Saccharomyces cerevisiae S288C: one gene and its partners. The protein of the gene in region 4 interacts with the protein of the main gene of each other region in a pairwise test. Each region holds a gene or a part of one and is shown on either strand. Other genes may lie near its edges.

What was found.
Region 1: the proteins of APP1 (region 4) and YSC84 interact in binary tests that used the Saccharomyces cerevisiae proteins (3 or more experiments, as listed by UniProt).
Region 2: the proteins of APP1 (region 4) and BZZ1 interact in binary tests that used the Saccharomyces cerevisiae proteins (3 or more experiments, as listed by UniProt).
Region 3: the proteins of APP1 (region 4) and LSB3 interact in binary tests that used the Saccharomyces cerevisiae proteins (3 or more experiments, as listed by UniProt).

What each region holds. Positions count from the first base shown.
Region 1 is NC_001140.6:133,919-141,718, reverse strand, and holds YSC84 (Ysc84p), read left to right. Parts: upstream 1-3,263; coding exon 3,264-3,310; intron 3,311-3,478; coding exon 3,479-4,838; downstream 4,839-7,800. Other genes in the region: argininosuccinate lyase ARG4, read left to right, coding at 317-1,708; YSC83 (Ysc83p), read right to left, coding at 1,868-3,025; MIP6 (Mip6p), read right to left, coding at 5,186-7,165. UniProt on the Saccharomyces cerevisiae protein: Essential for the organization of the actin cytoskeleton, fluid phase endocytosis and vesicle trafficking, together with LSB5.
Region 2 is NC_001140.6:334,846-340,484, forward strand, and holds BZZ1 (Bzz1p), read left to right. Parts: upstream 1-3,237; coding exon 3,238-5,139; downstream 5,140-5,639. Other genes in the region: YHR112C (putative cystathionine beta-lyase), read right to left, coding at 1-818; APE4 (aspartyl aminopeptidase), read left to right, coding at 1,492-2,964; ubiquitin-conjugating protein DMA1, read right to left, coding at 5,264-5,639. UniProt on the Saccharomyces cerevisiae protein: Plays a role in endocytosis and trafficking to the vacuole. Functions with type I myosins to restore polarity of the actin cytoskeleton after NaCl stress.
Region 3 is NC_001138.5:197,435-205,491, reverse strand, and holds LSB3 (Lsb3p), read left to right. Parts: upstream 1-2,058; coding exon 2,059-2,105; intron 2,106-2,199; coding exon 2,200-3,532; downstream 3,533-8,057. Other genes in the region: HIS2 (histidinol-phosphatase), read left to right, coding at 742-1,749; PES4 (Pes4p), read right to left, coding at 3,783-5,618; ROG3 (Rog3p), read right to left, coding at 6,458-8,057.
Region 4 is NC_001146.8:443,906-451,928, forward strand, and holds APP1 (phosphatidate phosphatase APP1), read left to right. Parts: upstream 1-3,705; coding exon 3,706-5,469; downstream 5,470-8,023. Other genes in the region: 40S ribosomal protein eS7 RPS7B, read right to left, coding at 267-410; YNL095C (uncharacterized protein), read right to left, coding at 1,007-2,935; Rab family GTPase YPT53, read left to right, coding at 5,963-6,625; YNL092W (S-adenosylmethionine-dependent methyltransferase), read left to right, coding at 6,966-8,023. UniProt on the Saccharomyces cerevisiae protein: Mg(2+)-dependent phosphatidate (PA) phosphatase which catalyzes the dephosphorylation of PA to yield diacylglycerol. May play a role in vesicular trafficking through its PAP activity at cortical actin patches.

The DNA of each region.
Region 1 (7,800 bases), on a different chromosome or scaffold from region 4:
TAACGACAATCAAATAACCTGATCTGCCAAGGCTCCATCATATCTGGCCTAGAACAGTTTTTTTTTTTCGATTATTTGTTCGTTCTTGTGGTGGTTACTCATTGGCAGAATCCCGAAAATCATGATTAGTAGATGAATGACTCACTTTTTGGATAAGCTGGCGCAAATTGAAACATGTGAAAAAAAAAAAAAAGGATTATAAAAGGTCAGCGAAGCACAGAACTCTGAGATAAGACTACCTTTCTTTAGCTAGGGGAGAATATTCGCAATTGAAGAGCTCAAAAGCAGGTAACTATATAACAAGACTAAGGCAAACATGTCAGACGGCACTCAAAAACTATGGGGTGGGAGATTCACTGGTGAAACCGATCCTTTGATGCACCTTTACAATGCGTCTCTTCCGTATGATTATAAGATGTATAAGGCAGATTTAGAAGGAACTAAAGTATACACAGCGGGCTTGCAGAAGTTGGGTCTTCTAACGGAGACAGAATTGGCAAAGATCCATGAAGGTTTGGCTGAAATCAAAAAAGAATGGGACGCTGACAAATTTGTCCGTCATCCAAACGACGAGGATATCCATACTGCGAATGAAAGACGTCTTGGTGAACTAATTGGCCGCGATATTGCTGGTAAAGTCCACACCGGTAGATCCCGTAATGATCAAGTTGTTACCGATTTGAGAATATACTGTCGTGACATTGTCAATGACACCCTCTTTCCAGCTTTAAAGGGCTTGGTTGAAGTTCTAATTAAGAGGGCCGAAGGTGAGATAGATGTCTTAATGCCAGGCTACACACATTTACAAAGGGCACAACCTATTAGATGGTCTCATTGGTTGAGCTCTTATGCAACATACTTCACCGAAGATTACAAGAGACTGGGTCAAATACTACACAGATTGAATCAATCACCACTGGGTGCAGGCGCTCTTGCTGGTCATCCTTACGGCATTGATAGAGAATTTTTGGCTGAAGGTTTGGGTTTCAATAGTGTAATTGGTAACTCCTTGGTTGCTGTTTCTGATAGAGATTTCATCGTGGAGTTGATGTTTTGGGGAACTTTGTTCATGAACCATATTTCTCGTTTTGCTGAAGATTTGATTATATATTGTACAGCAGAATTTGGTTTCATACAGTTGAGCGACGCCTATTCAACAGGTTCTTCTTTAATGCCTCAGAAGAAGAATGCAGACTCGTTAGAGTTGTTAAGAGGTAAATCCGGTAGAGTATTTGGTGATCTGACAGGATTCTTGATGAGTTTGAAGGGTATCCCATCTACTTATGATAAAGACATGCAAGAAGACAAAGAGCCACTATTCGATTGCTTAACAACTGTAGAGCACTCCATGCTGATTGCCACAGGTGTTATTTCTACCTTAACTGTAAATAAGGAAAAGATGGAAGCTGCTCTCACGATGGATATGCTAGCTACCGACTTGGCAGATTACTTGGTCAGAAAGGGTGTTCCATTCAGAGAGACTCATCACATATCTGGTGAGTGTGTCGCTACTGCTGAAAGACTTGGTCTAAGCGGTATTGATAAATTAACCTTGGAGCAGTATCAAAAGATCGATTCGAGATTCGGACAAGATCTTTTTGAAACTTTTAACTTTGAACAAAGCGTTGAAAGACGAGATGCTACTGGTGGAACCGCTAAATCTGCTGTATTGAAGCAATTGGATAATTTGAAATCCCAATTAAATTAGCAGATGGCGACGTTATGCGCAAGAATTTCATCAGGTCTGGTACTTCTAGGACTTCATCAACCCTTCTTTAAATACTTATTTTGTTATTAGTATTATATTTTCGAGATTGTGCTATGTATATATATACGTAGATAAGCAATTGTTATCTAATCAAGGATATTATTTGGATGATTTAGAAGATGACCGGCAAAAAAACGAAATAATGCTGCTATATACCTTGGCTAATCTTCCTCTCAAGCGTTTCAGGGAAAGACGTGTGTGATGGTTGAATATAAGTGAAGCAAATGGCCATGAGACTAAATAACTAAAACGGCCGCAATAATACACACTATTGTAACCTCCCAAAGTCGTTAACCAACTTAGCAGTTGTCTTAGTTTATACCCATTCGCACTCATTATCATTTTGTAAACTGGATAATGTAGGGCCTCGTGAATGTCTGAACCGGCCATTCTCAAAAATTTATAGTTCGATGGTTGTGACCCAATCTGCAGGATTCCAAGCTTGATTGTGGAAACATTTAACCTTTGATATTCCTTGAAAATTTTAAATAGTGAGTCGATTATTCCAGACGTTATAATTTCTGTACTATGATGGACTAAGTTCAGGTCCGCAGTCAAAGATGGATTGAACATAATTAGTTGGGTTTTTCTCTTCAAATGGGGTATAATGCTTAATAATGCTTGATAATACACAAATATACTTGAATGAATTTCAGATTCCAATGAGTCACATGAAATTACTCCGGATGGATGATATGATAACCTTGGCATAAACAATATGGATGCTAGCCTTGGTACATCAACAAAAAAACCCTCGAAGTCTTTTTCGCAGGTGGGATCAATGTAATATATGAAATCCTGATCTTCTTCGTGCTTCTTATAGACGTCTGCATTTTCAGTACAAATATATACTGTAAACCGTCTGCGATATAAATCCATCACTTGATTCCTTATGATAGGATCATTCATATCGCCCAGTATTAATACCACTTGAGATTCTGCTTCAGGTAAATTAGGTGGCAGTTTAAAAAAGGTCCTATACCCAAGGTATAAGCACAGGGAGGTGGCAGAAATTCCCAAGCCTAGCTTCCAATGATCCTGGAGCCCGATCCTCAAAGTTTTATATACTTTAGATCTGTTACTGTCGTTTTCCTGTAGTCGAGGAGTCTCCTTGTTGGATATCTTTCCAGATATGGATTCAATTGATTTTTCGACGTGGTTCTTGATCTCATCGCTCAAGACAGCGCTTTTCGAGACGAGCCAATACCCAGCATCAAATATCTGATCCACTATATCCTTACCACCAGACCAAGCCATTTTTATTTGTTTTTTTGAGAGCAAATATCTTCTGTTGTCTGTTTTATATTTCCTGTTTGTATGCCACCTACAACATTTTTACATGTTCCGACGCTGACCGAAAACGACCTGAAGGGAATTAAAGTTGACTACCCCCTAACTAGACCCTGTTCTTAACATTATCTATAACATGAAACTATCTTACACTTCACAGTAAAATTTTCAAGAGTAGTGGTAATATCAAATCCAAAATCCAAAAATGGGTATCAATAATCCAATTCCTCGAAGCTTGAAAAGCGAGACCAAGTATGTTCATATATATGCTTCCTGCTGCCCCTCCTCTAAACTTATGGATGCAGCTAAAATGTTCAAGATAGCTCTCTAGTCTGTGTCCATTGCTTATGGGGCATGAGTTTTCAAAAGTAATGTACTAACAACTTTATGATTGATTTATTTCGAATGTTTTAACTACAGGAAGGCCGCGAAAGTTCTAAGGAGTTTTGTTAAACCAAATCAAGTATTTGGAGCAGACCAAGTTATTCCACCATATGTGCTAAAAAGAGCTAAAGGTCTAGCAATTATCACGGTTTTAAAGGCTGGCTTCTTGTTTTCAGGGAGAGCAGGTTCTGGGGTGATTGTGGCCAGGTTAAAAGACGGTACATGGTCGGCTCCCTCTGCTATCGCTATGGCAGGTGCTGGTGCAGGTGGTATGGTCGGCGTTGAATTGACAGATTTTGTTTTTATTTTAAATTCGGAAGAGGCAGTGAGGTCCTTTTCTGAATTTGGTACAATTACTTTAGGTGGTAATGTGTCAGTTTCCGCAGGTCCTCTTGGAAGAAGTGCAGAAGCTGCAGCTTCTGCATCCACAGGTGGTGTCTCGGCAGTTTTTGCCTATTCCAAAAGCAAAGGTTTATTTGCCGGTGTGTCTGTGGAAGGTTCAGCCATCTTGGAGAGAAGGGAAGCTAATCGAAAGTTTTACGGCGATAACTGTACATCAAAGATGATTTTGTCAGGTAGAGTAAAAGTTCCACCAGCAGCAGACCCCCTACTCCGTATCTTGGAATCAAGAGCGTTCAACTTTACACGCCACGACCATGATGACAACGCTAGCGGTGATGATTTTTATGATGACGGTCAATACAGCGACAACACAAGCCATTATTACGACGATATTCCAGATTCCTTTGATTCTACTGATGAATCCTCAACACGTCCAAACACAAGATCATCAAGAAGAAGAGGAATGTCGCTGGGGTCACGCAGTCGTTATGATGATGATTATGATGATGATGGTTACGGACGTGGTCGCGGGTATGGAGATTTTGATAGCGAAGATGAAGATTATGATTACGGAAGATCTCCAAATAGAAACAGCAGCCGCAATAGAGGCCCACAGATAGATAGGGGTACTAAGCCGCGTGCGAATACCCGATGGGAAGATGATTTGTATGATAGAGATACTGAATACTCCCGTCCCAACCATTCCGGTAGGGATTATGATAATACCCGAGGAAATAGGCGTGGTTATGGTAGAGAAAGGGGTTATAGCCTTGGTCATGGCCCAACTCACCCCAGCAATATGAGCAATGTCGATGATTTATCACATAAAATGTCGAAGACAGGGTTAGGTAATGAATCCACTGCTACAAATTCGGCGACACCAACGGCTGTTGCTCTCTACAATTTTGCTGGAGAACAACCAGGCGACTTGGCTTTCAAAAAAGGTGATGTTATTACTATCTTAAAAAAATCAGATTCTCAAAATGATTGGTGGACAGGCAGGACTAACGGAAAAGAAGGAATATTCCCTGCAAACTACGTTAGAGTTTCTTAAATTATCGTCCTCCATATGTCTCGTTCCTATATATAGAATTTTTTTTTAGAGTTATGAAGTTGAGGATGGGTTCCTTATTCAGCTATGTTTACGAAATGTTTGTAGTTATATAATCACAATGGAAAGCTTCGAGGAACCACTTCTTAAGTACTCACTTAGTAGGTGGAGTATTTCTTGAAACTGGACTATACGCCATTAAACTAAAAAAAAATCGAGGCTGAAACTCCTTGGAATAATTCTGGGTAGATTAAGATAGCAAAGAAAACAATACTCTATTTTTATAGACATACGTACTTTTGTACCGAAAATTGCATATTGATGAACCTGCCTTCTTCCTTTAAAAGGAATCAAACTGTAAATCCGAGGCTTTCAGCAGCTCTAGTGACTTGTTTTTGTAGAATTTTCTGTGATTCTAATGAAGTATTTGTCATTAATAAAAAGTGCGATAGCCTTTCTGAGTCATGCTCCCAAAATACGTCAAAAATAAACTCGGAAATGCTGCGCAGATTTTCTTCTTTATTTAAACCAGAAATACTTATACGTTGTAAATTTCTGTTTATAATTTTTTTTAAGGACTCAAGTATTTCTGCATTCTCCTGTTTAGTTCTCTTAGGCTGATGCAGTTTTTCGTCAACAGTATTTGTAATTAAATTAAATGCTGGATGAGGTTTCATCGGCGTAGCTACGAGAGAGTTCATGTTTGTGTAGGAATTTGAATATGATGAGAATGGGGAAACTACTTGTTGAAACTGTGACGTTAATCCCTTTTGATGAGCTGATAACTCTTGTGTGCGGAAACGCATCATGGAACTAATGTTGATTAATTTCTTATAATTTTCATTGTTGTTACCATCGTCATAGTCTATCTCATTTAGTATATTATCATTATTCTTTGACCATGATGCCTCAACCAAACTACTTCCAATTAGTCTCCTATCCAAAATATTAAATAATCTCTCAGCATCACTACGAGAAAAACACTCAACATGTCCACAAAATGTCCAATTTAATGAGTTATAGTTTGTGATCTTAATTTCACTGAATCTTATTTTTTCTTGTAAACATAGTTGAGAAATAAACTCCTTATTGCAATTGAAGCTTAAATTTTTTAGATAAACCTTTGTTTTCTTGTTCGTTCCAATTTGATTATGAACAGGCTTATCTTTACCAGGACCAACCCAAATGGTATGGTTTTTAAAAATTGTTTTATTCAAACATTTCTGTGCCTTTTTAGATTCTTCTTCATTTTTATATGTGACGAACGCTTTATGTGGTGTGTTCGCCTGCTTTTCAGAGATGAATACAGATTTTATGGGGCCAATAGTGCTGAAGTAATCCAAGACCTCTTCTTGTGTTGTGTCAGATGGTAAATTTTTGACTAATATTGTTTTCGAACGAGCATTATCTGATAAATTATTGCTAGCCAATAGTTCGTCTTCGATAACTATGTCGGAGCCAATCATTTTTTTTCTTTTTGTAAATTCAGGTCTAGTTCTTACTTCTTTGTCAAAATGCAATCCACATATAATTTTATTTCCAAAAAATTCTTGGTTATTGTATTTTTTGATTACATTTCTAGCAGAAATATCGTTATCGAAATAAACGAACCCAATGTTTTTTCTTCTTTCTAGAAGACATGACAGTACATTTCCGTACTCGATCATTATTAGATAAAATGATCTTGTGGTCAGTTGGGGATTTTCCAGTGGTAAGTTAGAGAAAAAAACATTTGTTCCGATGTTTTTTCTAAATAATGTATTTTTCATAGATGGCATTATTTTAACTTCTTGACCAAAAAAAACCGTATAATTAAATTCTTTCCTTGCAGATTCTGCATCGTTTTTATCCTTGAAATTCAAATAGCCATAACCCAATGATTTTTTGGTGAGAAAATCACGACACACTTTAGCAGATTCAAAAGATTGATACCTTTTGAATATCTTCCTTAGCATTTCTTCAGTGACAGTTGATTTCAGATTTCCTATAAACAAACTATTTGTCTTTGAAGTTTTCGTGATATATTTTTGCACGCTTCCCTTTGCAACAGTTTTTTCAAATACTTGCTCTTGTTCTTTCTTTTCTTGAGTTGCATTTTTACAATCGTATTTTTTGAGGCTATTCTTTTCTTTGACTTCAGCATCCTTTAATTTCACATCACCGAGCTTATATCCAGCTCCTTGCACGCGTACTAGTGCTTGGGCTGATATCGTTTTGAAGCTTTTCTGCCTTGCATCTTTATCATTTGGGCAACTTTTAGAAATCGATCTGGGATTTTGCTTGCTATTTAAAGAGATATTATTCAATACATTACCATGAGAGTTTGGCATCTTTTTTTAGGGAATTTTTCGTATTTCTGCTTTTATTGACTTGGATAATTCATTATGTTAAGTAAGCTCTAATTGCTAAAAATGCCATAAAAAGAAAACTTATTGGAAAAGGACCGCCATTTCGAACGGAATTTGTGACACAAGTTCATTTTAGCAAAAAAAGGTCCTACCCGGATTCGAACCGGGGTTGTCCGGATCAAAACCGAAAGTGATAACCACTACACTATAGGACCGGAACTTACTGGTCGATCTGAAAATCATGATCGAATACGTCATCCTTGCATTACCCAAAATCAATCAATTTTTAATGAAATACATCAAATTTTGATTGTTGTTATGAAACTTCAAAATATCATCCGTTTATTAGTACTCACGCTACTAGTTTATTGTCAAATAAGTTGTAAGAAGATGGCATAAACATTGAGAAACAGTCATCAATTCTAATGAAAGCAGAAATGCAAGGATTGACAATGTAATAGGGTAATGAAAAATATAGAACGGAAGGAGAAATAATCATAATAACCTTATGTCGAAATACAGATTCTGAGAATTAGGTGAATTTTGAGATAATTGTTGGGATTCCATTTTTGATAAAGGCTATTATATTAGGTATACACAATATACTAGAAGTTCTC
Region 2 (5,639 bases), on a different chromosome or scaffold from region 4:
AATTCAGATTGGTGATCTGACAAAAATCTAACTAATTTCGTAGCATTTTCTGATTGTTTGGTTATTCTCATTTCGTAGGTTCTCAGGGATCGCAACAACATGAAACTTTCCAAATTTGCCACGTTTGTACCCAAGTAGATTCTGTCGTCTTTTAGTTGTCGGGAAGTTGCTTCCTCTTTGACTACAAGGACGCCACTTAACAAGTCAGAATGACCACCAAAGTACTTAGTAGCAGAGTATAGGACAATATCGGCTCCGAAATTCCATGCGTATTGCAATGGAGGAGATGCGAATGTGGAATCCACTATAAGCAGGGCGCCTTTTGCATGAGCTCTGCGGGCCAAACTCTCGATATCAGAAGAGGTACCATATGGGTTTACAGGAGATTCCAGATGGACAATGTCACCTTCAGAAGCACATTTTTCAATATCTTCCAAGGGGTGTTGCTCAATGCCGTAATTACGGGTCAATATGTTAGCAATTGCTCGAACACCATGGTAGCTCTGTCCGATAAAGATCTTCTTAGGGTTGTAATGTACCATTGCCGCATAGAACGCAGCTAACCCTGAAGAATAAATGACAGCATAACCATCGAGGATCTCTGAGAAGATACTCTCTAATCTGGTGCTATTTGGATGCGCTAGCCGTGAATATACGGGCTTCTTCTCCATAAAGTCCAAGTTTTCACGCTCTGTCCATGGAATTAGGTCGTCATCGTCGTAACGGAAGGTTGTAGAGACATTAATTGGGGGCGCCACGTCAGTAACCCTGTTATCTTTATCATCGCCATGAATCAAAGCTGTTGACAAGTCCACCATCTTACGTACTCTTTTCGTGCAATCTTTCCTTTATAGCATGTACTACAACATTTGAAGAGATGGAGGGATTGCAACGATCTATTGTTGCGCAATATGCTTATATATCGCGTGTTGCATAAACCCATCAAGTGATCGCACTCTGAATTAAACACCGCAAAAAAATAGAAACCACAGTTTCACCATTTGACAAGAACTCACAAGATATCCTTGAGGTCTATCAGTAAGTGGTTAATCCCGTACCAAAGCGTATGTGAAGGACTTCAGAAACAGTTATTTCACGTACTACAATTATTACAACTGGCCCTCTTTCCCTTATATATACTGTAAATATTGCGACTGACATGGAGACCACATAATCACACGTGATAAATAGTCCCGTTCAACTTACGTATATAATGTGATTCAGTGTTCCGCCAAGGAGTAAACTCCTTTAGTTTAAGGTCTGCTTATTTTTGCAACAGAAGCCTGCCTTGGCTTTCGAGATACTAGTTTCTGGCTACGGTTTTCTATTCCTTATCATTTTAGCCTTATCATACTTGCTGAAAAGTTGCAGATATCTCCACGCTCTTAAATGAAAGAAAAAAGGGCGTTTTCCTCCTGTATGAATGAAAGAAAAAATTCATGTTATGTGAGCAAGTAGGTAAAAAGAAAGAATAAAAGGTTCAGCTTTTCTATGTTCAGGATACAACTGAGAACTATGTCCAGCAAAACATGCAAGAGTGATTACCCAAAGGAGTTTGTCAGTTTCTTAAATAGCTCACACTCTCCTTACCATACAGTTCATAACATCAAAAAGCATCTGGTGTCAAATGGCTTCAAAGAGTTGAGCGAACGTGACTCGTGGGCTGGCCACGTCGCACAAAAAGGAAAGTACTTTGTGACAAGAAATGGCTCTTCCATTATTGCGTTTGCTGTTGGTGGAAAGTGGGAGCCTGGTAATCCAATTGCCATTACGGGTGCTCACACCGACTCCCCCGCATTAAGGATTAAGCCTATTTCTAAAAGAGTCAGTGAGAAGTATTTACAAGTGGGCGTGGAAACTTATGGTGGCGCTATTTGGCATTCATGGTTTGATAAGGATTTGGGCGTTGCCGGAAGAGTTTTCGTAAAGGATGCGAAAACTGGCAAATCCATTGCTAGATTGGTGGATTTGAATAGACCTCTGTTAAAGATTCCTACTTTGGCTATTCATCTGGACAGAGACGTAAATCAAAAATTCGAGTTTAATAGAGAAACTCAACTGTTGCCGATTGGTGGTCTGCAAGAAGACAAAACTGAAGCGAAAACTGAAAAGGAAATTAATAACGGTGAGTTTACCTCCATAAAAACGATAGTACAGAGGCATCACGCAGAACTTTTGGGGCTAATAGCCAAAGAACTCGCCATTGATACAATTGAAGACATTGAAGACTTCGAATTGATCCTTTATGATCATAATGCATCCACTCTAGGTGGGTTCAACGATGAGTTTGTCTTCTCTGGTCGATTGGATAATTTGACATCTTGTTTCACATCAATGCACGGTTTAACGTTGGCGGCTGACACAGAAATTGACCGAGAATCAGGCATTAGATTGATGGCATGCTTTGATCATGAGGAGATTGGCTCATCCTCCGCCCAAGGGGCAGATTCTAACTTCTTGCCTAATATATTGGAAAGGTTGTCCATCCTGAAGGGGGACGGTTCTGATCAAACTAAACCTTTGTTTCACTCGGCAATATTGGAAACTTCCGCTAAGTCGTTTTTCCTTTCATCTGATGTTGCTCATGCAGTTCATCCAAACTATGCAAACAAATACGAAAGCCAACACAAACCCTTATTGGGTGGTGGTCCCGTAATCAAGATTAACGCGAATCAACGTTACATGACCAATTCACCAGGGTTGGTCTTGGTGAAAAGACTAGCAGAGGCTGCTAAAGTCCCTTTGCAATTGTTTGTCGTAGCTAACGACTCACCATGCGGTTCTACCATCGGCCCCATTTTGGCCTCAAAGACAGGTATTAGAACTCTAGACTTGGGTAATCCTGTGTTGAGTATGCATTCGATTAGAGAGACCGGTGGCTCTGCAGACCTGGAGTTCCAAATCAAGTTATTTAAGGAATTTTTTGAACGCTACACTTCCATAGAATCTGAAATTGTTGTCTAAACTGCAATTGTTAGATGATTCATAATCCGGTATATTTATTGCCCTCTTTTGTATTTTACAAATAGTAAATATATATAATATCTTGTGATCTACATAAGCTTTCGCGGGGTCTTCAGAAAAATAAAAAGTTTTTAAAAGAATATACGCTTAGCAAAGGAATAGACAGATTTAGTTTGTACGCAAATAGTTTTTGAAGAAGGTAGCAGATTGATCAATTTTGTATGAGCGGAAATCTATCCTTAAACGCCAACTACTACATTACTTGCAATAAAAATGAGTGCAGATTTATCGATTGGTAATGAAATTAAAGATTCATTTAAGGAAACCCATAAATGGGTCCAAAATAACTTAAAATGGTTGAAGGACATTGAGCAATTTTATCGGGAAAGGGCTAAGTTAGAAAAAGACTACAGCGAGAGATTATCTCGCTTATCAGCAGAGTACTTTAATAAGAAGTCTTCGACCTCAGTTCCTATCTCGGTAGGTGACACACCTACTACCACGCCAGGGTCCATTGAAGCTGCAGGTGTGGTTGCATGGAATGAAATTCTATCTCAGACTGATATGATTTCCAAGGATCATGATCAGTTATCAACCGACTTTGAAAATCATGTAGCAAATCAATTGAGTGGATTATTCACTAAACTTGATATGACTTTGAGCAAGATAAATGGATTTAACAATGACATGGTTAATAAAAAGGATAACATTTACCACGAACTGGAAAAAGCGAAGAAGGACTATGATGAAGCCTGTTCCACTATGGAAATGGCAAGAAATAGGTATACCAAGGCATCTAATGATAGAAATAAAAAGAAGTTGGATGAAAAAGAAATGGAGATGAACAAGTGTAAAAATGAATATTTAATCAAGATCAACCAGGCAAATAGAACTAAGGATAAATACTATTTTCAAGATGTTCCTGAAGTGCTAGATCTTCTACAAGACGTAAATGAGGCAAAGACCCTTTTCTTAAATGATCTGTGGTTGAAGGCGGCTTCTGTCGAGAACGATCTGGGTGCAAATGTCAGCAAAAGACTCCAGGCGGCAAATTCTGTTGTCAAGCAGAATAAACCCTCTTTAAACACGGCCATCTTTATCAAGCACAATCTAAAGAATTGGAAAGAACCACAAGACTTTGTCTATAAGCCATCTCCAGTATGGCATGATGATGAAAAATTTGCTGTTCCCTCGTCGTTGGAAGTTGAAGACTTGAGAATAAAACTGGCAAAAGCAGAAAATGATTACAATTCATTGCAAGATAAAACTCAAAATGAGTTATCCAAACTGTCTACTTTGAACAAGATAAAGCACGAAATGAAAACTAATGAAGATAATATCAATGCCACTAAGTTTTATGATACACTAAAGGAATACTTAAATGTCGTTTCACCCTTTACCTCACACGAAACATTAAAATTGCAAGCCGAAGTTCAAATCGAAAGTATTCAGAATAATGTTCCTGAAGAATACGATTTATCCACAGACAATATTGATCTTTCCAAAACAAAGAAGAAATCCGGGATATTCAGTAAGTTCAAACACAACATCCTGAACGTCGACTCGAAGCCTTCGAGTGGAGGGAGCACTGGTAATGGCAACGGAGGACCCTTGCATATAACAAGTCTCTTCAACACATCAAGAAGAACTAGGCTAGGCTCTGCCCCTAACAACGCTGGTGAAGATTCAGATAATAATTCTATACGCACCACTAGTACCAACAATACAAAAAAGACCACACAAAATTCCAGTGATGACGGCAAGAATAAAGTGTTGTATGCATACGTACAAAAGGATGATGACGAAATCACCATTACGCCAGGAGACAAAATCTCTTTGGTTGCACGCGATACGGGTTCTGGATGGACTAAGATAAATAACGACACCACTGGGGAAACCGGCCTTGTACCCACCACATATATTCGCATATCTAGCGCGGCTACAGTTAAAGCAAATGATAGAGGCCCTGCACCAGAAGTACCACCACCAAGAAGGAGTACACTACCTGTTAGGACGATGGAGGCCATATATGCCTACGAAGCACAGGGAGATGATGAGATTTCAATTGATCCGGGGGACATAATTACTGTTATCAGAGGCGATGACGGTAGCGGGTGGACATATGGTGAATGTGACGGATTGAAAGGTCTATTTCCTACAAGTTACTGTAAATGAACGAAGGAATGAACTGAAACTATTAAATATTTTCCCTGGCCGCCACTTTTTTGAGAGGTATGACGACTCTATGTTATATATATATATATATATATATATATATATAGCACAAAATTTCATGTGATCAATCTACTAGGCGAACACCTAAATTGTTATTTATTTCCATGTCTATATCCATTTCAATGTCTGGCTCATCTTCGTCCTCGTTTTCGAATTCGGATTCAGATTCGGATTCCAAGGTAGTCTCCAAATCACAGTTTGTCCTACAGTTCGGACACATGAATTGAGGATAATTCATAATAACCAATCTTCTTACACAATGAAAATGCCAACTATGGGCACATGGTGATATAAAAATGGCTTGGCAAGGTTTTATTTTGTTTAGACAAATGGAACAGTCTTCTTGTTCTAAACCAGTAGTTAGTTTCTGTAGATTTTTTATTCGGCTCAAGGCTTCTTTATTAAATGCATTGGCCTTTAATTTCCAAGACTTGTTCAAT
Region 3 (8,057 bases), on a different chromosome or scaffold from region 4:
TCTTCCTACTAATATATCATTATATGGGTATAAGAAGATGGCATAAAAGTTGAGAAACAACCATCGGATTTAATGGAGGCTGAAATGCAAGGATTGGTAATGGAATAGGATAATGAATGACAGCATATAAAATGGAGGAAGAGGTGATAATATTATTACGTAGAATTCTCTTTTTTGGATTCAGGATCAGTGAGGACAGCTTCTAGTATATTCTGCATACCTAAATGCTATTCTTTTTTTTATCAATTTGATTTACTAAATGCTATTTATCCCAAATAATCCATATAAGATTTTAATCTAGATGGAGGGTAAAAGCGCGGAAACATGAGTGTAAACTGATTGTGCAGATATTTACACATTTGAGTAGCTCGTCAAGGGCAATCAAGCTTTCAATCTTGCCGGTTTCATACATGTTGATAAGCTAATGAAACTACTAATGTCTTGCTGTAAAGTAAACCTGTATCATTTCTGTTTGGAAGATTTCAACAAACGTTCGGGCGTGTGGCGTAGTCGGTAGCGCGCTCCCTTAGCATGGGAGAGGTCTCCGGTTCGATTCCGGACTCGTCCATTTAAATTTTTTTATTTTTTTTGTCAAATCTCTCTATCTATAGAGATAATCTCTATCAACTCAAATGATACTGGATATTATATGTACATTTTCCATTTCCCGTACAATCTTTCCCTTTCAAACACATTTTAGTACTTCTTGATACGTACAATTCAGTAAAAATCCTCGAGGTCATGCACTCACACCATTCACACTCCGGTGACTATAGTGCCCACGGTACGGACCCTTTGGATTCCGTGGTCGATCAAGTGGTCAACCTCAACTTTCACACGTACTGTTTGACAGAGCACATACCAAGAATTGAGGCCAAGTTTATATACCCCGAAGAGCAGTCATTGGGCAAGAATCCTGAGGAAGTCATAACCAAGCTAGAAACATCGTTCAAGAATTTCATGAGTCATGCGCAAGAAATCAAGACTCGTTATGCTGATAGACCCGATGTGCGGACTAAATTCATTATAGGAATGGAGATCGAAAGTTGTGACATGGCTCATATCGAATATGCAAAGCGACTCATGAAGGAGAATAATGATATTTTGAAGTTTTGTGTGGGTTCGGTCCATCACGTCAACGGGATCCCTATTGATTTCGACCAACAACAATGGTACAATTCATTGCATTCCTTCAATGATAATTTGAAACATTTTCTCCTGTCTTACTTCCAATCACAGTACGAAATGCTGATCAATATTAAACCGTTGGTCGTGGGTCACTTCGACCTTTACAAATTATTTTTGCCCAATGACATGCTAGTAAACCAGAAATCGGGCAACTGCAACGAAGAAACCGGAGTTCCTGTAGCTTCACTGGACGTCATCAGTGAATGGCCAGAAATATACGATGCAGTTGTAAGAAATTTACAATTTATAGACTCCTATGGCGGCGCAATTGAAATCAATACGTCCGCATTAAGAAAGCGCCTCGAGGAGCCGTACCCCAGCAAAACCTTATGTAATCTGGTCAAGAAGCACTGTGGATCCAGATTTGTTCTAAGTGATGACGCACACGGCGTGGCGCAAGTGGGTGTGTGCTATGACAAGGTAAAGAAATACATAGTAGACGTGCTACAATTAGAGTATATTTGCTACCTTGAGGAAAGCCAATCACCAGAGAATCTGTTAACTGTAAAGAGATTACCCATTTCGCAATTCGTTAATGATCCCTTTTGGGCCAATATATAATCTGATTATCTTGAACTGGATGTACATAAAAAAAAACTGTCATATAAACTCATGTACAGCTGTGTAGAAGTGAATGATCTTTCCAAGAAAAAAATTTCACACTGAATTGATTGAATTGACTGCTCATTTTATATTGGGTGCCCAAATTGTCTTTCTTTATTGTTCGTTTAGTAGCAGCACCCTGTTTGCTCGCCGACTCGGCCGCATCTGGAAGTTCAACATGAAAGAGTATAAACTATCGAAGAAATCTAGAACGGCTTTGGATCACGGGTGGCAAAGAAATCAAAAACAAAAGCTGTATCACACGCAATGGGTATTAACAATCCTATTCCAAGGAGTTTAAAGAGTGAGACAAAGTATGTTTTATACGGGTTTGGCTGGGAAACCTTTAAAAAAGTTCTCCCTTAATTTGTTCATCATTTACTAACTAGTAATAAACAATTAATAAAGAAAAGCAGCGAAGATTTTGGCTAGTTTTGTCAAACCAAACCAAGTTTTTGGTGCGGACCAAGTCATTCCTCCAGACGTTTTGAAAAGAGCTAAAGGGTTGGCTATCATAACGATCTTAAAAGCAGGTTTTCTATTTTCAGGTAGAGCTGGTTCTGGTGTGATTGTCGCAAGATTAAAGGATGGTACTTGGTCAGCTCCATCTGCCATTGCCATGGCAGGTGCTGGTGCCGGTGGGATGGTTGGTATAGAATTGACTGATTTTGTTTTCATTTTAAATACTCAGGATGCTGTTAAGTCGTTTTCTGAATTTGGGACCATCACGTTGGGTGGTAACGTCTCCGTTTCTGCTGGGCCTCTTGGTAGAAGTGCAGAAGCAGCTGCATCAGCCTCCGCCGGTGGTGTGGCTGCAGTTTTTGCCTATTCTAAGAGTAAAGGTCTATTTGCAGGGGTTTCTGTGGAAGGTTCGGCTATTATAGAAAGAAGAGAGGCTAACAGAAAATTTTATGGTGACAATTGTACCGCGAAAATGATTTTGTCTGGTAGGATAAGACCGCCTCCAGCAGTTGATCCATTGTTTCGTGTTTTAGAGTCCAGGGCGTTTAATTACAGACCCTCCAACGGTGGTCGTGGCAGTTTCGATGACGACGAAGACGATTACTATGACGACGACGATTACTATAATGACATTCCTAGTTCATTCAGTTCTACAGATGCTTCCTCCACTAGACCTAACACAAGATCCACAAGGAGAAGAGCCCAAAGCGGTTCTCGTTATACGTTCGACGATGATGATGACGATGATGATTATGGTACTGGCTATTCAAGGAATTCAAGACTGGCTCCTACCAACAGTGGCGGTAGTGGTGGTAAATTGGATGACCCATCTGGAGCTTCAAGTTATTATGCCAGCCACAGAAGATCAGGAACTGCTCAGTCAAGGGCTCGTTCTTCAAGAAATCGTTGGGCTGATGATGAATACGATGATTATGATGATGATTATGAATCCGGGTATAGACGCGGGAATGGAAGAGATAGGACAAAAGACCGTGAAGTCGATGACTTGTCGAACAGATTTTCTAAATCTAGAATCTCGTCCGCTTCAACACCGCAAACTAGTCAGGGCAGATTCACTGCTCCAACATCCCCATCCACGTCTTCTCCAAAGGCCGTGGCATTATATAGCTTTGCAGGAGAAGAGTCCGGAGATTTACCATTCAGAAAGGGTGACGTGATCACAATTTTGAAAAAATCAGATTCTCAAAATGACTGGTGGACCGGAAGAGTCAACGGTAGAGAAGGTATATTCCCAGCAAATTACGTTGAACTAGTTTAAAAAATTTGAAGGAGAGTAAAGAATACGAGAAACGTTATTGATTTACACTTATACCTTTTGCCTTACAGTTTATCAGCACTCGGACCTAAATACATATCATATAGCAGACGGCGTCCCTCTGTCTATCCTTTTAAGAATTTTTTCCATAATAATAATTTTTAATAATATCTAAATATAACGAAAAAGATTGAATTAGTGTAAATAAAAAAAATAAATAAGGAAAACTCTAGCTAAATTAACAAAGAGACATTCATCTTTTAAATCCTAACGAGCTTGCAGCCTCTTCAATTTGTTTTTGCAATACACCTTCATGATATGGACTACTATTTAGCAACGATAAAAATTTGTCCAATATTAACACATCGCGATTCCAATAAGTGTCGAATATATACTCAGCTATTCCGTGCACATTTTCGTCTCTAGTGGCACTTGGAAATCTCATGAAATCTATACCTCTTCTTACTTGCTTTTCGAATGTTTCCAAAACTTTCTTATTGAAATTTTTATTCTTTATTAGTGATCTTGTGCTGCTATTCATTGACGAAAGATCTCTCATGTGTGGGGAGTTCAAACTATTCGCATGTGAGTACTGGTAATATGGGGTAATTTGTGGATGAGAAGAGGTGTGTATATTGCGCATTCCATAACCATCATGATATTTAGGTGCATTATTTTGTCTTTCCCAAGATGTCGTGACGATGCTTCCTCCTACTAAACGGTTATTCAAAAAGTTAAATATTCTCGTAGCATCTTCAAAATTCCTGAATTTGATGAACCCAGAATATGTAGAAGAATTTTCGTCATATCCATCTATCTGAATCTTGAACGGTCTAATATTTTCTTGGTGACATAAATATTTAAGAAATTCCTTATTGCAGACAGCGCTTAAATTTTCCAGGAAAAGTGTAGATATTTTTTGAGATTCTATAAATTTGGCTCTTTCTTCTTTATCCTGTGCCCTGGTTACTAAAAGCTTTTTACCTCTGAAATAAAAATTATTGTAGCGTTTAATTGCCTTTTCTGAGTCACTGCTATTTTTATATGTAACAAATGCCCAAAGATATTTAACTTTAGTGGCATTGGATAGATAAATTGACTTAATTGGACCCACTTCACTGAAGAAATTTAAAATATCATCCCTTGTAGTTATTGTTGGAAGGTTTTTGATGAATATAGAATTTTGGGATGAAGAGTAAATATTTTTAGATTCCTTATCATTCCCCTTGGAGTGTTTCTCATTCAAAGATTGCTCTTTTTCAATAATTGTTTCCGCATCTAATCGTGATTTTTGTGTTTCAAAATTTGGAACACTTCTGACCTCTTTATCAAAATGTATTCCACATAGAATTTTCTTACCAAAAAAACTGGTATTATTGTACATTTTGATCACATTTCTCGCAGTTTTTTCGTCCTCAAAGTAAACAAATCCTATATCTTTCCTAGAGTCTAATTTGCATGATAGAATTTTACCATATCTAGAAAACGTATCATAGAATACTCTTGTTGTTAATAATGGATTATTTAGAGGTAGATTAGAGAAAAAGACATTAGTGCCGAAATTCTTTCTAAACGTTGTATTCCTCAATGATGGCATAATCCTAATTTCTTTACCATTAACCTTCGTGTAATTTAATTCTTCCATAGCCTTTTCAGCTTCTTCTTTGTCTTCAAAATTTAAGTAACCATGGCCCAGTGATTTTTTTGTCACTGAATCAAGACAAACTTTAGCAGAGACAAAAGAGGGATATTTTTTGAAGATCCCTTTTAAAGTTTCTTCAGTAACTGTTTCATGGAGGTCACCAATGAATAGCGGAACTAGTTTTTTACTTTCAAAACTTTTCAATTTTCCATTCTTGTGACCGGATTTGTTGTTGTTAATTCTCAAAAATTCAGGTGAATCAGAATGGCTCGAACTTGACGATCTGGATGTTTTTTCGTGGTAGTCGTCTGGCCTAATAGGAGTAACTACGGGGTTAAATGATATTTTCTTTTCTTGATCTTTTTTTACTTTCAAATCCTGGTTTTTCAAAATATTCAGGGGAACCATACTGAGTATAGAAGGTTTTTTGTTTGAAATAGAATACATGTTTCCTCTTGTAGGTTGAAATTTTTTTTGTGATACTGATTCTCTCGTTATTATTGGTTCGTTCAATTAATGAATAATTAGTTTGATTATTTTCCTCTTTATTTGACCTTAGGAACAGTTTTTAAGGTATACTCTGAACTGCAAATTTTTGTCATAACTCTTGGTAATCAAGGCTAGAAGTGTACTATTTTTGCTTTCTGCACAAGGCTTTTTCTTCGGTACGACACAAAAACAACTATTGTGTCGCAGTCCATAGAAGGAGCAAGAAAAAAGAATGTCTTTAAAGGCGAATGTGATTCTATGCTTTCTAGTACCTACTGTGCCGAATAATGTGTAAGTCTCAAAATTCTTTTCTTCCAAAGCATATCCATAATATTTACCTTACGCTGGGTATTTTTTTTTTGGTCACTCCAGATCTAGTTTTTTAAAACTTGATCCCAACGTAACTAAATATAAACAAGACAAAGCTCGAAATAATATAATGTAATTTAGCGAATGTAGTGTTTATATCACCACATTTGGAGAATGTACAATGAATAGTTTCTCTGTCTCTAATGGAATAAGAATTTAATTTCAAGATTTAATTACTTTATGGTGGACCATTTATCTTATGATATCTAGCAAATCAAAGGATCCCTCAAACTGAAAACCAATAGCAGGATCGACCTGACTCTTTTCAACAATGCAGTGGATTTTTTTGAACTTATACTGCCGCACGCCAAACATTGCATTTATCCCTTTTTCTTTAAAATGCCAGTTAGAGTGCGTAAATGCTATATACATCACTTTCTATATGAAACTATACAAGCTTAATGCACGAGCCGAAACAATATCGGCGACTATCGTTTGTTACCCTTTGATAGAAAACCTCCCATAAACCCAGCTAAAGAAGTAGCCCTCCGTCTTGTTGGTGACCTTTTCATACTATTACTGGATGGGTTATTCGAAGTTTTCGAAGTTAACTCATTAAGTGTATTAAGAGATACCCCACTAGAACTACTTCTAGAGCCATTAATTATGGAAATAGGGGAAGCAGTGCTACTCATAAAACTAGAGGAATGAAAGCTAGTTGGTATAGAAGATGACAATGTTGTCGAAGAGTTCCTGGAATGTACCCTACTGGGTTTTCTTGGTTGCACATTTTGTATCGCACAAGGGTAGGAAGGAGGAAGGTCCTCACCAATGATATCATATTTCATTGCCTTGCCATACGATGGAACCTTGTTCAGGTTTTGAGTCTCTGGATAATTTAAGCCCGAGGGCACTGGTAACACTTCATGGGCTGACACGCTTGGGGCTGGGGATCTTGAAAGTAAAACAGGTGATACGTTACTATGTACTCCTGGCACAGAGCCACTATTGGGACCAAGAGCACTCTGAGGTAAGATTCTCTCCGTGCCATCCTCTGGTGCTGGAACGTTTAGTAATGGAGATAGCGATCTGGAAGCGGCAGCAGACGAGGCAGACGGTGGTAGCCCTAGATTGTCACGTTGATTTCTAATTTTTGTCAACCGTATACGTAAATCTTCTAAATCCTGTTGCTGATCCTCGACAGTCGAACATTCGCTTCCCAAAGGAGTACATGTTCCAGACGTTTCCACAGCCGTGCGAGTGAAAGAACCGCTATAAAGACGATCATATACGTGCATTTCATAATTTGGGGGCGTCATCAAGTCTGAAATGGTAGGAACAGAGCCACCGCTACGCATATCCGCTAATAATTCCAACCCTGTGACTGATGCTGATCTAGAAAACAGATATTCCTCTTCCTCTTCTTGTGATGAGTTTTCGTCTTTCTGGTTAGTGGTGCTAAAAAGCGAATACAAATTCGAGGATGACAATGGTTTTATTGAAAGTGCCACAAATGGTGAAATAAAAAGTTGAATCGGTAAGGACGCTCTTAACTCAGATTTATGACCATCTGGGTTAATTAGGATGATGAAAAATTTGAGCTTATGGCGAACCTTAATGTTAGAGCGGACATCACAATCTTGCACACAGTTTGATAAGCTGTTCGGGATTTGCAGGATGGTATCAATCTCCCACTTGTCTTGGAATGAATGATCAGGCTGAAAAAAGGGGTTATTTACAAAGCAACCATTACCATTAAATTCTCCAGATGACTCGTTCAAGGGATCTTCAAGATTTAGTTCTGTCACTTGCCTATTTTCAGAAATTACTGGAGGGAAGGGGTCACAATATTGATAATTCTCAAATAATACGACTTTGATTGAGCCCAATTTCAAACCTTTCGAAAGAGGTACAATGGAAATATTTATAGGGGTGGCTGAACCAATAGCTACGGCTTTGTTGGGTACTGAAATAGAATAATCCACTTTGTCGGGCCATGAGTTATCTACACAAACAGTTTCTGATAACTCCACTGCTGCGGGTGAAATGGTTCTCAGAACTCTAATATTTTTCCTACAGATCAAATCA
Region 4 (8,023 bases):
TTCTTCTCCTTGGGGTAAGGTCTTTTTCGCGTGCTTCTATTTTATTCATCGATATTGGTACTGACCAAGGAGGCCTTTATAGTTCAAAGGCTCATCGCAACGTTCATGGTATTGACAGCTCTCGGAATTACTATTTTTCTCGAACACATGAAAATTTCATACAGATACTGCTCAAAATCACTCTTTTTTGAAAAAATTACTGCAAAGAACCCCTTTAGAAGAAATCACAATGTTGCTGCTTCCAAATTATATAACTTTTAACATACTTCTCTGATAGATTTGATTTGCAATGGTCTCAAGTCAGCCTTTAGTTCTGGAGAGGAGCTTTCTAGATCGATGAAGGTCTTGGCGACTTGTAATTCCAACTCACTTGGAGCTTGGGATAAGATCTTGGATTGGACAGAGGACATTGGTCAGTTATGTGTCTAGTCTTTAGTGTGTTGGTTTCTCTTCTGTTTGTATATACAAAGTCAAATAACACATATTTTAACCATAATCAATAGCATTTGGTATTTCCCCCTCCGCGTATTATGAACGCCTAGTGAGCCCATTCTTCCCTAAAGCCAGGCTGGAAACCCAAACTGTGTGGAACGTGACTGAATTGCATTTGGTGAGTTACCAAGCAAAGGCTCGCAGGCTTGAACCACATTTTACCAGGGCGCTCGCTTTTTCCGAAATATTGAAATTAAGCAAAACAATAATGTACGGATTTAAAGAGGTACGGATGGAGACCGTAGAAAATTGACTTTTTTTTTTTTTTTGTTATTTTCTGTGCCTTTCGTAACTACTACTATGCAGAATGACAGGTAGTTGTTGTTTCGAATTGCTACTTTCACGCATTCAACTTGATCAACATTTCTCTCTGATGAAAGGTTGTGGAAAGTTTGGTCGTGTCTATAAGTAGGTGTTTTTTATTAGTTCTATATAAAAATGGAGAATGTTAATTTTAACCCACCCTAAAACAGTGATTAGGAGTGGTAATAATTTTTTGTTTAATGGATTAAAACTAAAGGTTCATCTGTACTTTCAGAAAGTAAGACACTAAAAATGGCAAGCTAACAACCATTAGCGGGTATTGCAGCATTAAGAAAAATGAAACACACTCCATTTGGATTGGCGCAGTTGTTTCTGGCGGCGTAAAACTGGCGGTGAAATATATAAGGGTAGTCATCGTTGGCAAGTTCCAGCTGATTGCTATAACAAATAGTAGCATTCTATCATCTTGCCAATTAACCCATCCAGCTTTCACTAACCGATCACACCATAGGACACCAAAAATTGGCATGACACATTGTCTCAAAATGACGAGTGTCACAGCGGCTTTCCAAAATCCAGGATAAAGGTTGCCAATCTTTAATCTTCCTAAAGTTGCTCCTAATAATATCAACCCAAATGGAACACATGCGGCACCGACATAACCTGTAAAATCCATGAAAAAGCTTAATGGTGGTGCATTGTCAGGAGCTTGGCTTATGTGAGGAGTATTAGCGGTAGTCACGAACAAAGCCTTGACCCATGGGATAAATGCAACAGTTAGGGCGATGATCACGGCCATAGAGCACGGTCTCAAACAATTCTTTAGGAAAAACACAAGTAATGGAGTTAATGAAAATTTTCTCATCCACTGTGGTAATGATTCGCCGGATGTTTCAATATCCTTTTTACTTACAGTGGCATCTGATGTTAAGATCCTGGTTAGGTTAGCAGTTTTTATAGTCTGTAAAGTGGAATTTGAGCTAATTGAATGCACATCATTCATATCAGCGCCGCGTAAACTGGAATTCCTCCTTTGATGACCATACTGGTCAACGTTGGAGTACTCTCTGATAAGATGGTGTATATTTTGAGAAGGTAATGCACGCATATCAATGGAGCGGATAGGTTCCAATGCCGCCATAGACATATTTTTTGGGCATTTTTCATCTAAACAGTTCTCTTCTAGGAGTGTGGTAGTATTGTAAGCTCTCGGCTGGCTCGCGGTTCTACGTGCTCTCATAGTATCTATGCTACTCTCATAACTCTCTGACGTATTATAAGAATGTATTGTTGAAGCAGATGATTGGCTATCTAATGGATTTGAACCACGAGTTGCCTGTGACTCTTCGCTTTGAGTGCACGCAATAGTATTTCTTGCCTTCACCTGAACTGGTTTTGTAATCTTTGAATTCGAAGAAGTGTCTGGTAGTGACAGGGGAGCTATACTATTTGTTGATCTCCTTGAAATTGGTGGTACGTCTGCGTTTTCACCCTTTGTACCTATAGCTTCAGTGAGACTATCGCGAGCGGTGTACTTATTGTTGAAAAGCTGTTGTTCGTTTGAGAAGAAACGCTCGCTAGTATCTGTATTAGTTGTGTTTGCACTTACTGCGGGCTGTGTCTTTGTCGTTTCTGAAACCCTAACGGCGCTTTCATCGTCGTTGTACTCGAAATCGCTTTCAATCAGTCGAAACCCCCCCAAATTGAAAATGCAAATTAGAAACATTGTCAGAAATATAATGACGTTAGCCACACCTTTGTTACCTTCTTCTTCCGAAAATACAAGCCCTTGGTCCATAGATTGTAAATATGCAATTGGTAAATCACTTATATTTGGAAACATACCACCGGCAAGAATACCACCGTACCATTGTTTAGGAACAGGCAGGAATAGCCTAACAACGTATGCAAAAAAGAACCCAGAACCAAATATTAGGAGGGCAGACAGACAGATAATTCCCACAGATTTGATGTCTTTATCTTCAATATTAGCGACAATCTTGTTGAATGACAGAGAGGGTAGTAAAACTGTTAGCACGATATCAGAAATAATTCTTGTTGCTTCAACCGTAAGAATTCCCATTTTAGCCATCAGAAAGCCGACTCCTATAATCAAATAAATCTTGATTATCGGCTTAACTGACACCCATATCGCTTGACCCAGAGTAATGTGCACCATCTGATGAAAATTTGAGGTTTCAATCCCTTTCTCTGTTTGATTCTATAACTTCTCCAAAAAAATTGCGCTGACGCTAATTAGTCACTGTTTATATCTTTTTTAGCGATGATTTGTAACAATATGCCATAAAAGCGTTCTCTAACTGCGGAAGTGATGAGAATTGAATAGTTTTATTCAGAAGGCAATATATCCTAATATGGCACAAAAAGGCAACTTGTATGCACAAAATGAGCATAAGAGTTCAGGCAGAACGTTGTGCTCTTGATCCAAAGGTTAAAAGTCATCGAGTAGGAAGATATTGTAACCTTCGCGCAAACCGCAGCCGCAGCGGGTCACGTGGTCGCGCAAATGATGATGAGGGCGCGGTCTAACTTTCCAAACGAGGTTACCAACAATTCTCGGACAGATAAAGCATTAGAATAGGGTGGCAACGCCTTTACGGTTAGCTTGTTCATTGTGATTGGTTTGTGTATCTTTTCTTGGCTTTTTATGCCCACGAGACATAAAGTATACGAAGCTGTTATACTATTCGTGATCCAGGGCAAAAATTTAGCATCATTAAGGCATATATATCGCAAATAGTGGGTTGCACAAGGCTTTCAATAAACAGTGTCATATGTTTCTCTAGCTCTGTCGGTTTGTTGGCTATAAAGAGTTTGTCTAGTAATCGCCGTCTTTTCTTGGGACCATTAACACAGACAAGGACATTGAAACTTGGCTATAAGTTCCGTCAAAGGGGGAAAAAATTGCTTTGGAGAAGGAATAAAAAGATGAATAGTCAAGGTTACGATGAAAGCTCTTCCTCTACTGCTGCTACTAGCGGTCCTACTTCTGGAGACCCACGAATGGGTAAGAAACAACGGTTTATGAATCTCATAAGAACCACAAAGGATGTTTATATTCCTAACCTGACGTCATCCATTTCTCAAAAGACAATGGATGGCATCAGGAGCACTACGAATTCCTTCGAAGGTTATAATGACTTGCCTATGGAATTGCCACATAATACCACGATAACATATTTTCCAACGTATACCACAACTAATTTGGTTGACCCTGACGGTTTGAGTGCGCCTCGGAAAGATTTTGAAACTACTGTCAGATGTGCTGTTTCTTATCCAGGAAATCCTACAAGCAGGAGAAATAGGTGGTTGCTTTCTCTTTGTAAACAATATCTTAGAACTGGAACGGCGGAGGCCGATGTTGCACCTGTTGTTCCCCCTCATCTCGAAGAGGATTCTGGAGATTTAAACGACTCCCAATCAAGTATAGAAAGTTCTTTGTCTTCAAAGAGCGAAAATAGGTATTCACATATGGGCATCCAAGAGGAAGATGTTCTGAATGAGAGAATTCAAGGATTCCTGTCCAAAAAAGTTCCTAATACTCCAGTGGTGGTTGACCTATTGCCCAAAGATAAGCTCAGAGGGGATACGGCTTCCTTTTTTGGTACCACGGACTCTTATGGTAATTTACTAATCAAGGCAGAAACAGATTTTTTACCGTCCAAGATTAATATTACATTAGATACCCCTATAGAAGGCCATGCAGATCCCATATCTGAAACATTTCCGGCCAATTATGTCTCGCCCTACGGTATTGGTTTAATCAGTGATATTGACGACACCATCAAGCATACTGGCGTTACGGGTGACAGGAGATCGATGTTTCGTAATGTTTTCATCCATGATGTTCAATCGTGGGTAATAGATGGTGTTCCTCTTTGGTACAAAACTTTACATGATGTCGCAGACGTTGATTTCTTTTATGTTTCTAATTCACCCATCCAAACTTTTACTCTTTTGAAACAATATATTTGCGCCAATTTTCCTCCGGGTCCAATTTTTTTGAAACAATACTCTGGTAATTTCTTTTCCACTATCATGACTTCAAGTGCGAATAGAAAAATTCAGCCGATTGCAAATATCTTAAAGGATTTTCCCAAAAAAAAATTTATTTTGGTCGGTGATTCTGGTGAACATGACTTAGAAGCGTATACCACTACGGCTTTACAATTTCCGAACCAGATTCTGGCTATTTATATAAGATGTTGCTCTAATTCCATGAGTGATGTCCCATCGCATGATGAAGAAGTTATGAATGAAGTGAACAATATCATCGAATTACAACAACGGCCCATGCAAATGACCAAGTCTACCGTACGTACCAGGAGAAGACCACCACCACCTCCCATTCCTTCCACTCAAAAGCCATCGTTGACAGAAGAGCAAACCGAAAGTATAAGAATGTCACGCCGTAATAAAGATGAGAACAATGCTAAAAGAGTTGCCCCACCACCGTTGCCGAACAGACAGTTACCTAACTTAGACGCTAATACTTACTATGTACCATCCTCACAAAATGACTATGGCATGTATGGTGCTTTCATGGATAAAAAAGCAGATGAATGGAAGAGAAGAGTAATGGACTCAATTCAAAAATTGAGCAATCAAGACACCACATTGATGTTCTTTTCGGATCCGGCATTAAGTTTGGAAGACAGTATTCGCAGAATTAGGGAGAAGTATTCAAACTAAATACACTGTTATTTATATACATCGGGAGGGAGTTTAAAAATTGTATACACTAAAGTGACCTTATGAATTGGAGCCATTTTCAACGTTTTAGAGTGATGTTGCATCCTTTTCATCAGATCGGGAAATTAAAAAAACGGTTATAGAAGGGCTAAATGTAAATATGTAAATTTTATGAAGTCAAGAGTAAAGAAAATCTTCGGTTGCCGATCAAATACACTCTTACAAAATACCCTAAACTCAGTTTATCTTTCCATTCCAACTGATTATCGCGTACGCCTTGGTGACCAACCATACCCTAAAATGTCAATTTCCGGGGCGGAAGGGGTCCTTAAACTGCAAAGCCTCTTCCCATGTAAATAAAATAAATCCGTAGAATTTATTAAATATTGTCATATTATAAGTCGGGAAAGGCCTTCTGAATGCACGTATATTGACCAAATAGAGTTAGATTCAAATTATTTATTACATTTTTTCAGCATCGAAGTTAAGTAGAATGGATAAACATACAGCAGCTATTCCAACATTAACTATCAAAGTAGTCTTACTCGGAGAATCTGCTGTCGGGAAGTCCTCAATAGTCCTCAGGTTTGTATCTGACGATTTTAAAGAGAGCAAAGAACCTACTATTGGTGCCGCATTTTTAACAAAGAGAATTACAAGGGATGGCAAGGTCATTAAATTTGAAATATGGGATACGGCAGGCCAGGAGAGATTTGCTCCTTTAGCGCCTATGTACTACAGAAATGCTCAAGCTGCTTTGGTAGTTTTTGATGTTACTAATGAAGGGTCTTTTTATAAGGCTCAAAACTGGGTCGAAGAACTACACGAGAAGGTAGGACATGATATCGTTATTGCCTTGGTGGGGAACAAAATGGATTTGCTGAATAATGATGACGAGAATGAAAATAGGGCTATGAAAGCACCAGCTGTACAAAATCTCTGTGAAAGAGAGAACCTCTTATATTTCGAAGCAAGCGCTAAGACTGGTGAGAATATTTACCAGATATTTCAAACATTAGGCGAAAAAGTACCATGTCCTGAACAAAATACACGACAAAGCTCTACTCATGATCGCACAATTACCGATAATCAACGAATCGATCTCGAATCAACGACTGTAGAAAGTACTAGGGAGACTGGGGGTTGTAACTGCTAAACTGCAAGCAAAACAACAGCAAACGCGGCATATTCAGCGTCTTAGCGAAGCTTGCCATTGAAAAGAACAGTTCGTAACAACAGCTGGAAGAATAGTACTGGAAATTTTCAATTACTTTTGCAAAACAAGCACTTTTTTGTTTCACTTCCATTAGCCGCAAGAAATACACTTTTTTTAGGGGCGGGAATTTTCATCGCCAGATCGAGAATCACAAGGCCTTTACGTACTATAGTTTGTAATTTATACAAAATCAGCTACTGTTATTTTGGTGTACCAGCGGCAAAAATTGGTGAGGATCTGAAAATTAATTAGAGGTGAACACATATCAGTAATTTTGACTATGGACGAGAATGAATTTGATAATCAAAGGGAGAATAAAGCTGTAGCTCGAGTGATCATATCATTTCTTAAGTATGAAGAGTATGCCCTAAAGGAAATCTACAATTTGAGAGTGAAAAAATGGGCATCGATCTCAGATCGTCAAAAAGACATGGTACCAAACTATACAAAATATTTAGCTAATCTGAAAGCCGCAATTATAGAAAATGGCAAGTTCTTTAGAAGTGTCGCCGAATATGCCCTGCAATCAATAAGTTTTGAGCCAGGAGAAATCGTACAACCAAACGATTTAGATATGAGTAAAACATGCTCTTTACTTACGCAAGTTTATAGGGAGTGGTCCGCAGAGGCCATTTCTGAACGTAATTGCTTAAATTCGAGGCTTGTACCGTTTTTGAAGACCCTATCACCCCCAAAAGCCGACATTTTGATACCGGGTTGCGGCACAGGACGCCTTCTCGTGGATCTTAGCAGAATGGGCTATAATTGTGAAGGTAACGAATTTTCATATCACATGCTGCTTGTATCTCAATACATGTTGAATGCAGGATTACTCCAAAACCAAATTATTATCTATCCCTTCATACACTGTTTCTCCCACTGGAAAAAAATTGAAGATCAGTTGTCTCCCATTAAGGTGCCGGACATAGAAGCGTGGTCTTCAAATAAAGGTATGGGGTCCATGTCGATATGTGCTGGCTCGTTTGTTGATTGTTATGGTCGTAATCAAGGCACAAAAATCTCGTCACATTATACATTTTCGCGAAGGATGCAACTAAGTAGAGCAAAAGCTGAAAACTCCAAAGACGTTGTAGTAACAAACTTTTTTATAGATACGGGATCCAACATCTTGGATTATTTGGATACTATTGGCCACGTCTTGAAGCCAGGCGGAATCTGGTGCAATTTCGGCCCATTGCTTTATCATTTTGAAAATGACCATGGGGTTGAAACTACCTACGAAGTTAACCCTTACTCTGGGTTTCAAGATAAAATCAATGACTATACACCACTGATGGGTTTAGAGCTTTCTAGCGATGATATCATAAGCATTGCCAC